Linked DNA regions of Mus musculus. The main gene of each other region encodes a partner of the protein of the gene in region 2 in a complex. Links are inferred from orthologs where the notes say so. Each region holds a gene or a part of one and is shown on either strand. Other genes may lie near its edges.

Region 1 (6,003 bases), on a different chromosome or scaffold from region 2:
CAAAAAACCAAAAAAAAAAAAAAAAAAAAAAAGAATTCTAGAAAATGTTCTATTCTGTGTTCAGTAAAACTGCCTGAACAAATCCACCACCCTATAGAGAAAAGCCAATACTTTTTATTAAAAAGAGTTACATAGGAAATAATTCTGAAAGCAACATAACAATCTACTTCCCAAACCTCACATTCAAACATACTGATTCTCAGGACAGTTAGAGGATGGATAAAACTTAATAATTTAACACTCATTCTAGTCCGAATTCAATTCAAATAGAAAATGTGAGGTGTTATTTTATCAAGCATAAATTTATATTACACATTTTACTGAAATGTTCATGCTAATAAGGACACAATCAAGATCCACGTAGGTGTACAAAGTACATAATATGGAATGTTTTAGCATTAAAGCTGTTGAGCCCTGATCTAAGTAGCTAGACCCTAAGAAGCCAGAATCAATGAAGATTTTTTTTTAATCAATATACCACCTGAGATTTATAAAGTCATAATTCTTCCCCCAAACAAAATGAAGCTTCACATATTTTTTCATGCTTAACATGTGACTGTATTCAAATACCAGAAAAATAAAATAACACACATTTAGAAAATTTTGAAAATGCTCAATTTTTAAAATGTGAACTCAGTTCATATTAACTGTAGGTTTTACTATTTATGATATAATATCCCACGTTAAGGACAACCATGTGTGATTCTGATAACAAGCATTCTAAGATATGAAAGTAAGAACTAGCACTTTACACATGCACTTAAAACACATTCCACTTATTTCTTCATCACTGTAACCAAAAGGAATAAATTTAGCCTAAATTTCCAAATGAATTATCGCTGAAAGCAACTCTATTAACTCAATTTAAACTAGCAATGTTTACTCCAAAATAAAATGGCCCTTAAATTTAAACACTATATACAGGTGTGTGTACACACACACACACACACACACACATCTTTGGAATGACAACTTTACATTAATCTAATCTTTGTACATAAAATACTTCAAATAGGTTGAGGAAAATCTTGAAAAGAGGGGGCTAACAACTATTTATATTTATATAATTCCAGAGCTAGTTACTGAACATTTTTCCAGCGCTAATTTTAATGAAAGAAAATTAATACCGTCACTGTCAAAGTTCAATTCAAATTTCCTTACCATTCAAAGAAAATGGACCTACCGAAAAAGATTATGACTGTTTTGCCTTATAGTCATTGTCTGCAATCACAAGTTCTTATATTTTGATACTTTAAAATAAAAACGTAATTATGATCACAGATAAAAACAATTAAGGCAGCCAAACCAAAATACATTCAAAAAGTAAGGAGCAAAATAATCAACTTTTTTTAAAGCCGTTAAGCTTTAGTCGCCTTTCTTAAACTTCCCAATTGCAACAATAGAGCTAACAAAGTATCAAATCAAACCTAAAGATTTCCGGCAAAGAAGAAAAGGTCTAATGAATGCAACATCTACCATAGACACTCCAAGTTTGAGAGTCCCAGCTAACAAAAAAACCTCCTCCTACCATTCCAATCACACTTTGGTCAGGAAATATAAACTGAAGTAGACAGACTGAGACTCCAGCCTTTGTTCAATAGCTTACCATGGGTAACTAAATGTGCTACAGGTTGATAAGCATTTACCAGGCGTATGCACGCTATTTCAAAGCTAGAGAAGGGGACAAAAATTCTACATGCAAATAATCTGTGATCATTTTTATTAACTACTGAGCTACATACTCCAAAGGAGAGGCCTATTCTTCTCTGATACTATTTATTTCCCTGTTTACCTCTCCTCCCTCCCCCAAACCTCCCCCGGCTCACTTTCTCCTCCCACCCTGTCCCGCCATCTTGGGCGGACAGAAGCAGCCATTACTTAACTAAATGACAGTACCAACAACTTTGCACACAAATAAACAAGAGACTACACCCAGAATCCTCCCCAACTGCTCCTGACAGACTCACAGGAAACCAAGCTCCAGAAAACGCACTCATACAACTGTGGTAGATCTTTGGCAGAAAGATCCAAAAAGTAAACAAATCACCTAACTTCAGGTAAAGCACACACCGATGATGATACAAGTCAATAACCCCATGCAAACTCTTTACGGACCTAAACTACGTGCAACTTCCCCCTTCAGGGAGCAGAGACAAGAAGCCATCCCGAAATGTTTGACTAAAGCAGGCATCAGGAACAGACTGCCTAAAGAGCCTTAATAACCAGGGAAGATAACGAGCGGGGGATTTAAGGAAATCTACAGCTGTTTACGAACTCATGACCCTCCCTAGGCACCTCAGAGATCATCCGCCTAGCCTCCAAGGGCGGTAAAATCGTAGTCAATTTGGAAGCCCCACATGAGCTTGGCCCCAAAAGCGCCACTGCCTCTGTCCTCTGGCTCCAAGAGAAGTGATCTCTCAAGAGAGCAAGCGAGGTATCAGGGGGTGGAGGGGAGCGCAGTAGCAGGAAATAGTTTTCCGGAAGCCCCTCGGCCGTCTTTCGAGGCCACAATGAGTGGTGACCCGGCCCCGGTGCCCCAGGCGAGCGCGCCTCTGGCTCGAGAGACCGCGTCCGCGCTCCGGCCCGCGGTTTGCCTTACCTTGCCCAGCAGGGCCTTCATCCTGGCGCCATCTTCATGAAACCTCACGAACCCGAAAAGGCGGCTGCGGAGAAAGACACACGCCGCTCGTTAGTGCCCCGGCATCGGCGCCGACCCGTCCGTGCCAAAGCCCGAGGCCCGGGCGTCAGCGGAGCCGAGAGCGCCAAGCCGAGGTGCCCGCCCCACGGCCGCCACAGGCTAGCCGCGCTCCGGCCTCCTCGGAGAGTGGCGCCAGCCTGTCCCGAGCCGCCCGGGCGAGTGCCCGCTCCCCGTACCTGTCCAGTCCGCCGAGCGCCTCCCTCTCCTCCGCTGTCAGGCTGGGGGACGCCTCCTCGCTCTCGCCGCTCGCTTTTCCCGCCGCCATTTTCTTTTCCTCATCACCGAAAGCGGCGGCGGCGGCGGCGGCGGCGGCGGTAGCGAGCGACACTCCGCAGGATTTCATGGAAACGCAGCGAATTCACAACTCCAACGCCGACACCCCCCCTCTCCGGGCCGGAGCCCGCAAGGACGCCTCCAATCTCCGCACAAGACCGGCACACCAACTTTATTTCTGCCTCCTCCTCTGCCGCGAGAGGCGGCAGCGAAAAATCCTAACGCGGTAGAGGTGAAGGCAGAGGCAGCAGAGGCTGTGGAACCACTGGGTCCGGAGCGGCGACGGCTCGGCTGTAGGGTCACATCGCGGGGATGGGAAGGGGGCAGCCACAGGCAGGGTCGGCGGGAATGGCCGGAGCGCGCGAGGAGCGGGAGCTCTGGGGGGGATTCGTAGGAGACACAAACTTCCCCGGCACCAGCACAAAGTTGTTGTAATTGTGTCACACAGCGAACCCCACGCCGCTGCCGTGACCCCCCCCTCACAGCCCGCTCGGCGCAGCCAACCAGAGCAGCCCCTCGCCTCACGTGACCTTTGTTGACTCGCGTCAGTCGTGGCTCCACTTAACTTGCTAGCTGCTTTAGCCCCGCCCACCGAGGCCGCCACAGATCCGAGAGCGGGATGCTCGCCAGTTCTGGTCGGTGGTTGGCTGATAGGCACGTCTGTCCGGAGTAGGGTTGTCACCCAGTGGGAGCAGCCGGTTAGGTTGTGCTACTTAAATACACAGGCAGAGAATGGAGGGGTCCAGGCTGTGTCCCTTCGGGAGCCGTGGTGGGATCGGGGGGGGGAGGGGAGTGCTCAGTCTGGGCGAGGTCCGGCACCGCCTGTAGCGAGCGCCAACGAGAAAGCCTAGGACAGCCTCTGGCTGCCCGGAAGCCCTAGGGTGGGCCAAGACTGTGATTTCGGTGGTCCTGCTAGCGCTCGCGCACTCCGGGAATATCGATCCCGACAGGGCTGGACACCAGCTGAGTCGCGGGGAGGGAACACTCGGCCCCAGACCTCTGCCCTCGGAAGAAGGCGCACTGCTAGAAATAATAGCCTCCACGAGGAGTGCGCCAGAGGAGCAGCAGCCGGCTTCATACCCTGCAGCCTGGGCGCCGCCCTAGACAAGGCCACGCGAAGCCCCATACCCTTTCAAAAGGGGAAGGGGAAAACGTCTCCCGACCCCCGCCCACTCACCCCAGGCAGGGAGGAATGAAGAGTCAGTCGCCTGCAGGGGGTCTGGCGCGCTGGCTCCCGCACCCCACCGCCAAAGGTCTGTCTGTTGGCAGCACTTTCGGGCCAGATATTCCTGCTGCTTGCATATACCCTACGCCCTAGCAGTAATTCGTTATACTATAAAGAAAAAAACAGAAACAGTGAAATTTGTCGAGGGGGATTTCAGAATGTTGGGTTCTGTTGCTGTCATCTCAGTGGGTACTCCATGGAAGAGTAGGAGCTGTATGTGAACTGGCCTTAGAGAAATAGAATCCTCAACACAGCTTCCTGCCAGCCTTTTTCTGCTTCCACTACATAGGAAACCCTTAGCAGTAACATTTGCTTGTTCTGTCCCTCAGGTACAAATAAGTCTGGTGTTTGACCCATAGTATAATCAGGAGATAGACCAAACTTTCCATCGACTATTTTGAAAAGGCAGATATAATGTGATGTATCTCATCACACCTCCAGTCTTTGGGATAGAAAATATTAGTAAATGGACTATATGAAGAAAAGATCCGTTTATAAACCAAGCTTTATATGTTTTATATAAGTTTACACCTGTAATCAATAGGGTATATTTAAATTTAGATTTCAGAATATATAAGTGCTGAGTCAGTAAATCCTAGCTGTGTTCTTCAATGAGAGACTATAAAAGTCCCAACTAATTTTGCAGACAGACAGAGCTTTAAATTGTTGCCTGGAGACTAGTAACTAGATGAATAAACTAGTTTTGTATGGATTATATTTCGTGTTTAATTACACTTTTACAAAACATGTTCTATGGTGTTCTATTTTACTTGACTGAGTGAGTACCAGAGACTGAATATTTTCTATAGCTAAATTAACATACGAATTGTTAAATGTCACAAATGGTGACCTTCAAAACCTGGGAGATTTTTGGCCCCACTACCACATGGACACTTGCACAAACAGAAATCAAACCTGTCAGTATTTGGCCACGTCCCCAAAGTTACTGGTTCCTGATTTAGTCCCTTTCCAAGAATGATATAAGCAACCCATGTCTGAGTGCCTTCCTGCCCTTTAATAATAAGGTTAGAGTTTTAGAAATAAAGTGATAGGGAGGGGTTGGAGTCTAGCTAGCACAGCTGGGTTCTGATCCTTGTGCAAGCTCTGTGACCTCTAAACCAAAGCTGTTGTTTTTGATGTGGAGTAATTCTAGTTTATTGGGGCACAGGTTTTATGAAACAGGGTATTGCTCTGTAGCCCAGGCTGGCCTCTGTGTTCTCCTGCCTCAGACTCCTCAGTTCTGGGATAATAGACACGTACAATCATGCCTGGCCAAACCAGGCCAACTACAAGGATTTATCCTCCATCAAACATGCAGTGTCCATATAAAATAAGTCTTACATGTCTATGTAATTTTTTTGGCATTTACATAGTTTAGCTGTCAAATGTATGTGAAATAAGCATGGAGCCTTTCTCAGTCACTGTCAAAATTAATGCAATTTTAAATTTATGACATACAAAAATGGAAAAATTTTGTTTTATAATAATTATTACTATGGCAGGGCAGTGGTGGCACATGCCTTTAATGCCAGCACTTGGGAGGCAGAGGCAGGTGGATCTATGAGTTCAAGGCCAGCTTGGACTACAGAGTGAGTTCTAGGACAGCCAGGGCTACACAGGGAAACCGTATGTCAATAATAATAATAATAATAATAATAATAATAACTATGAAAAAAAACCTGGGCTGATTTAGCTCAGTTGGTAGAGTGCTAGGTTGAAGGTCATGCTAGGCTACAAAGAAGGGCATTAAAATGTAGAAGGCAAAGTGATATAAAAATAGGAGCCTGGTTTGTGTTACATCATACAA
Region 2 (5,203 bases):
TAAAGGCATGTGCCACTAGACCTGGCTTGTATGCCCTTTTGAAAGAATCAAAGAAGTTGGTTTTGAGAACTTTTACACTAATTTCTGTAAGTGGAAGTTTCTAAGGTGTGTTTACACATAAACACATGTGAGATGTGCCATGTGCATTAGAGTGTCCAAAGAGAAGGCCACAAGATCCTCAAGATCCCCTGGAGTTGGAGTTATAGGCACCTATGAACCATCAGATGTAGGTGCCAGGAACTGATCTGGTCTTCTGAAAGAGCAGCAAGTGCTTTTACCTACTGAGTCATTAGCCCAAGCATACACCGTCAACGATATTCCAACTTCCTTTGGGAACCAGTCATACTTTCTTTTTTGTACTTTTAACAACCTTCTGTGACAAAGAACCAAGTAAAACTATGAAAATGTCTATGATACTCATTGGCTGCGGTGTCTGTTTTGCAAAGGCAGAAGTGCTCTTACTACCATCAAGGTACTTGTGTGTTTAGAGCTGACTCAGCATCTTACAGCAGCTATTATACTTGAGTTCTCCTTCTGGAAACACCATCGCTACTGCTGTTTACTAGGGCTATTTACAATATCTTGGTCAAGGGGAGAAATTCAGTCATGCATAAATGGCTAGGATGATTCACTGTAAGCAGAAGGGCTGGACTATGCTTCTACATCCACCATGATAATCCAACTACAGTTGGTACATTCATGCTTGTCACCCAGTAAGCAAGCATATGCGAACTACTTAGCAGCCAGCTGTGGCTAGCAGGATTATGGAACAAGGAAAACAACTCAGGGTAGGGTTGCAGACAATGAGCACAGAGATACCTTTCTTGAGTTCTCTGCTAACTCTACAAATATGAAAATGAACAAGCTGGTTGAGAAAAGTAACCAGAGTACTACACAGGTTCTGCCACACAATTGAAGCTGGCTTGGAAAACAAGTAGGTAAGACAGTTCGAGACTCTTACTCATGAGAACAGCACTGCCTCCTTCAATGTAACCCATCCCACTCCAAGATATTCTAAACAGTGCCTTACCTGGTCTAGCAACAGACCCTTGCAGTGCTGTGGCTGGAGTTTCCTTTGGGGCTAAATTCTGTGAAGGGGCTAAGGCAAGAAACAAACAAATAGGTCTTTTACTTTTTTTTATTTTTTTAAATCCCTAACTAAACTAGAAACAAAACCAGCATATTCTTAGAAGGCCATGCTTGCAGGCTTGAAGCTGATCTTCAATGTGTACTTAACAAAACAACTCCTCTAACCTTCAGCAGCAAGGATCTGCTCCTCCCTTTACACTAGAAAGAGCCAGGAAGGAGATGGCCACAAGAACAACTGCAGCCACAACTGTAGGACCAATTTCAGGTTCTGACTCTTTTGTTTCCGTGTGGTTTTCAGACAGGGTCTATCTCAGTTTCCTCAGCCTGGTCTGAAACTCTTGATCCTCCCACCCCAGTCTCCACAGTGCTGGGATTATAAGCATGTGCCACCACACTAGGCCTAATGGCTGTTTTCTTAAAAAGCTGAAAACTATATCTTAGTAAGCAAGCTAGCTTCTTTTAGAATGGCTATACCACTCATCTCAACATTTAAAAAAAAATTATGTAACCCCAGCAGAGATTCTACACACACTCCTTGATTACCAAAACACACAATTCTGTACTTTTCTATAGCAACTAGCAAGAGTGATGGGCATAAAACAGACAATAAATATATACTTAATAAATAAATCAATATAGTATTATTTACTTTTCTAACAAATAGCTATAAGAACTTTCTATAGGCAGCTCACCCTATTATGAAAGGTAAGACAGATACATACAGTGTACTCCACTATGATGTCATATGGAAAGAGACACATAAAATATAAAGTGCCATGGGAGTCCAAAGGAAAAGAATACTCTAGGCTGAAAATGTAAAGGAATATTTCAGGTAGAAATGTCAGCATGAGTCTTTGAAAGACAGAACAGACTTAGACCCTAGAACTAGAACACACGAGACACTCTGGAACACAACTTTATGGACTGTACAGTAAAGACTTAAGGCTTAAGTATGCCAGGGCTATCAAGGGTATGCCTTCCATCTTAACACTATAGCTTAAAATTCTTGATAAACTACAACAGTAAGTTTTACCCTTTGATGGAAACTGAATTTTGTAGATTTCTCTCTGCTTAGTAGCTTAATTGCTGGTTCATCTCCCTAAAACTTATGTTTCTCTACTATCAATTGTGATTCAAATAAAAATATTTTCTAATTATTTCATCATTATTCTCTTAGTATTAAAGGAAAAAGTTCCCTAGAAGGAAACAGAAATGGAAATATCAAGCATCAGAGAACATACTTAAGCCACACCAGTTCCTTCTGGTTTACACAAGGTCTCATGTAGCTTAGCTTGGCCTCAAACTCAAGTCTGTAGCCGAGAGTGGCTCTGCTCTCCATCTTACCTCCTCTCCCACGTGCTGCATGTGTGCACCACCATGCTCAGCTTTCTTTTTAATTCTTATAGTCACCTACATCAACAAAATTCAACCTTGAAACACAGAGCCGTCCCCAGCAAAGTCTCTCTCTCGTAGGGACATTGAACTCTTTGCAGGTCTTCACCCCTTCTTGTATCTCTTTAGGTAAGAGGGAGAAAGAAGGGACGGAACCTTTCTAGAGCTATGTCTGGGGCAGTAAGCTGGCACTTGATATTCAAGTTCTCTCACTGAATCCTACATATCCTGGGTGGTAAAATTATAATCTCCACTTTACAGGTGAAGTACGAGGAACTCACCAGACTGTAACTGGCAACCAGTGGAGCTAAAATTTGAACTCTGATCATAACCTGAAGCTGGTATCCTTTCTGCTCCTCCTCCTAATTGGTAGGCACTCAAAGTATTTTAGCTGCATAAATAAAAGAGGTATTATTAGCTGGCTTAGATACTGCAGAGGCCCCTAGCTATGACTAACTTATCTCTAGGTATGTGGAGCTTCTGCACTACTTGAGCCATACAGGAGAAAGGAGGTATAAAGACACCTGTTTCCAGTACTAACCACTGACCTAGTGCACAAGAAATAACTTGAACTAGATGTCCACTAATGCAGTTTACTAAGAGGCCATGTCCAAAGGAAACAGGCAATAACACTTAAACCATATTACCGTATTTTAGGTTCTGTGCTAAGCATGTGCTAAGCATTCATTACCTCACTGAAATCTTGTGACTATGACTGTCTCCACATTACAAAGGAGGAAGTGAGACTTGTCCCAGCCCATTGAGCTGGCAAATACTGCAAGTCTATCTGACTTTTCCCCACTCAGATCTTCCTTTGCTTATCATGAAATCTGGTTTTCTGGTAAGCTTTTCTGGAGCAGTCCAAACAGAAAGGCCCCTGAGTTAGCATACAGTGAGAACAAGGCAAGAAGTACAATGGGAGGGGCATAAAGAAGTTGTTGTTCACACTCAAGGGATGATGCCAGGCCAGAGACATAAAAGAGTATAGGCTCAACAAATATTAGACATTTCTGAGCTTCAATCTTTTCACCCACAGGAAGGAATAAGACTATATCAATGGTTGGTATAAAGATGATGTGAGATAGTATGTATGAAAATGCTTTTTAAAACTGAGGAACATATATACACATGAAAATGAAACATGAATCAGTTCAGAAGCCAGGAAAGAACCATGTTAATGAATATAAACTGAACATGGCATTTAAAAGCATATTTTTCAATGTACTTTCAGTAAGTAAATCTACAACTGCCATTTTTCTTCTTTTAAGTAGAAAAGGGCTGTGCTTTCTCTCTTGTGGGACAGGCCAGCAAAAACCTGACATGAGGAGCTGATGCCAAGCTCAAGTACATACCTATGCTGGGTAGAAGCTCTGGATGGGATCCCACCTTCTCCTCCACTAGGCCACCTGCAAGTGGCTCAGATGTTACGCCACCATGATTGCCTTTTGTGGTTGGCGCTGTGGAGATGAGCTCAGAGGGTACCAATGTGGTTACTATTGAGCGTACACTGGTGGGAAGAGCACCGCCAGGTAAGATGGGTCCTGTTGAGGTGGAGCTTGGGCCCATGGGGCTAGAGGTCATTTTTAGTAGAGTGGGTGCTGAGGGTGTTGGGGTTTTACTGTCCAGCTCTGTGGAGCACTGCTCTGTTCCCATTAGCCCAGGAGTTGTGATCTCTAGCCCTGGGCCTTCAGTCTCTCCATCTGCACCATATTGTTCTTCCCCTTTCTCCAGAGAGCCTGTAACTTTCTTACAAGCCTTGGTCAGCAAAATCTGGCCAATTTTGTCCACTTTTCCTTTGCCCTTACTGGATGAGACTGGGCTTCGACGATTGGCAGAGGAGCCTGGACTATTGGTCAAAAGGGGAGAAACTACTGTGGTTGGCTGTGAAGGAGGCAGAGTGCTCTGGTCTGCTGAGGTGTTCGTCTGAGGACTAGCCTCATCTGGATTTAATTCTTTTACTTGCTGGACAGAAGGATTAGGAGCGACAACTGGAGAGGATGTACAAGGAGGGGAAGGCAGCTGAACAGGAGTGGCTCGTGAGCTAAGGACCAATGGCCGACCTGTCTGTATATTTGGAGCAGGACTACTGGAGGGGACATTAGGTGTTACAGGAGCTGAAGAAAATTTTATGTTCTGAGGTATGTGTAAAGGTCCAACAACTGCGACAGAGGGAGGCATCAGGCCACTGTTGGTTGTCAATGGGGTTGCAGGAATTGTGCTTGGCTGTGATCCTTTCATAACCTGAATTATTGAAGATGAGTTGATAAAGACAGGTGTAATGAACTGAGGCCGGGCATTAGACTGAGCAGCTGACTGTCCTTCAGAAACCATAACTTTGTTACCCACGTTGGGCATTGTGACGACTGTTGACATCAATGCAGACTGCAAGTGAGTTGGCAGGGCTGCTGATGTGTTAGATGAAGTGGTGATGGGGTTGGAAGTAACAAATACAGTTATTTGGTTTGGAGGTAAGGGAGTAGAAATGGAGGAAGAGCTGACGGGTCTTGACATTACTGGAGGGATGCTTGGTGCAGTGTTAGAGCTGACCTCACTCAATTCTGAACGCGCAAGTGTTGAGCACGGCTCACTACTGTGAGGTGAGCTTAAAGAAGTAGAGGGTTCTTTAGAAGGCGGATCCTGCAGTGTGGGAATGACAGATGCTTTTCTAAGGTCCTCTCCTGAAACTACTGGAGGTGTTACTTCCAGATCTGTAAGCCCAGGG

The links.
Region 1: Ncoa6 (region 2) and Kdm6a share a complex: the UniProt entries of both Homo sapiens proteins name them as parts of the MLL2/3 complex. The link is inferred for Mus musculus from reciprocal best matches to the Homo sapiens genes NCOA6 and KDM6A.

The regions. Positions count from the first base shown.
Region 1 is NC_000086.7:18,160,044-18,166,046, reverse strand, and holds the start of Kdm6a (lysine-specific demethylase 6A), read right to left. Parts: upstream 3,473-6,003; 5' UTR 3,042-3,472; coding exon 2,875-3,041; intron 2,664-2,874; coding exon 2,600-2,663; intron 1-2,599. UniProt on the Homo sapiens protein: Histone demethylase that specifically demethylates 'Lys-27' of histone H3, thereby playing a central role in histone code. Demethylates trimethylated and dimethylated but not monomethylated H3 'Lys-27'.
Region 2 is NC_000068.7:155,401,642-155,406,844, forward strand, and holds part of Ncoa6 (nuclear receptor coactivator 6), read right to left. Parts: coding exon 3,834-5,203; intron 1,100-3,833; coding exon 1,031-1,099; intron 1-1,030. UniProt on the Homo sapiens protein: Nuclear receptor coactivator that directly binds nuclear receptors and stimulates the transcriptional activities in a hormone-dependent fashion. Coactivates expression in an agonist- and AF2-dependent manner.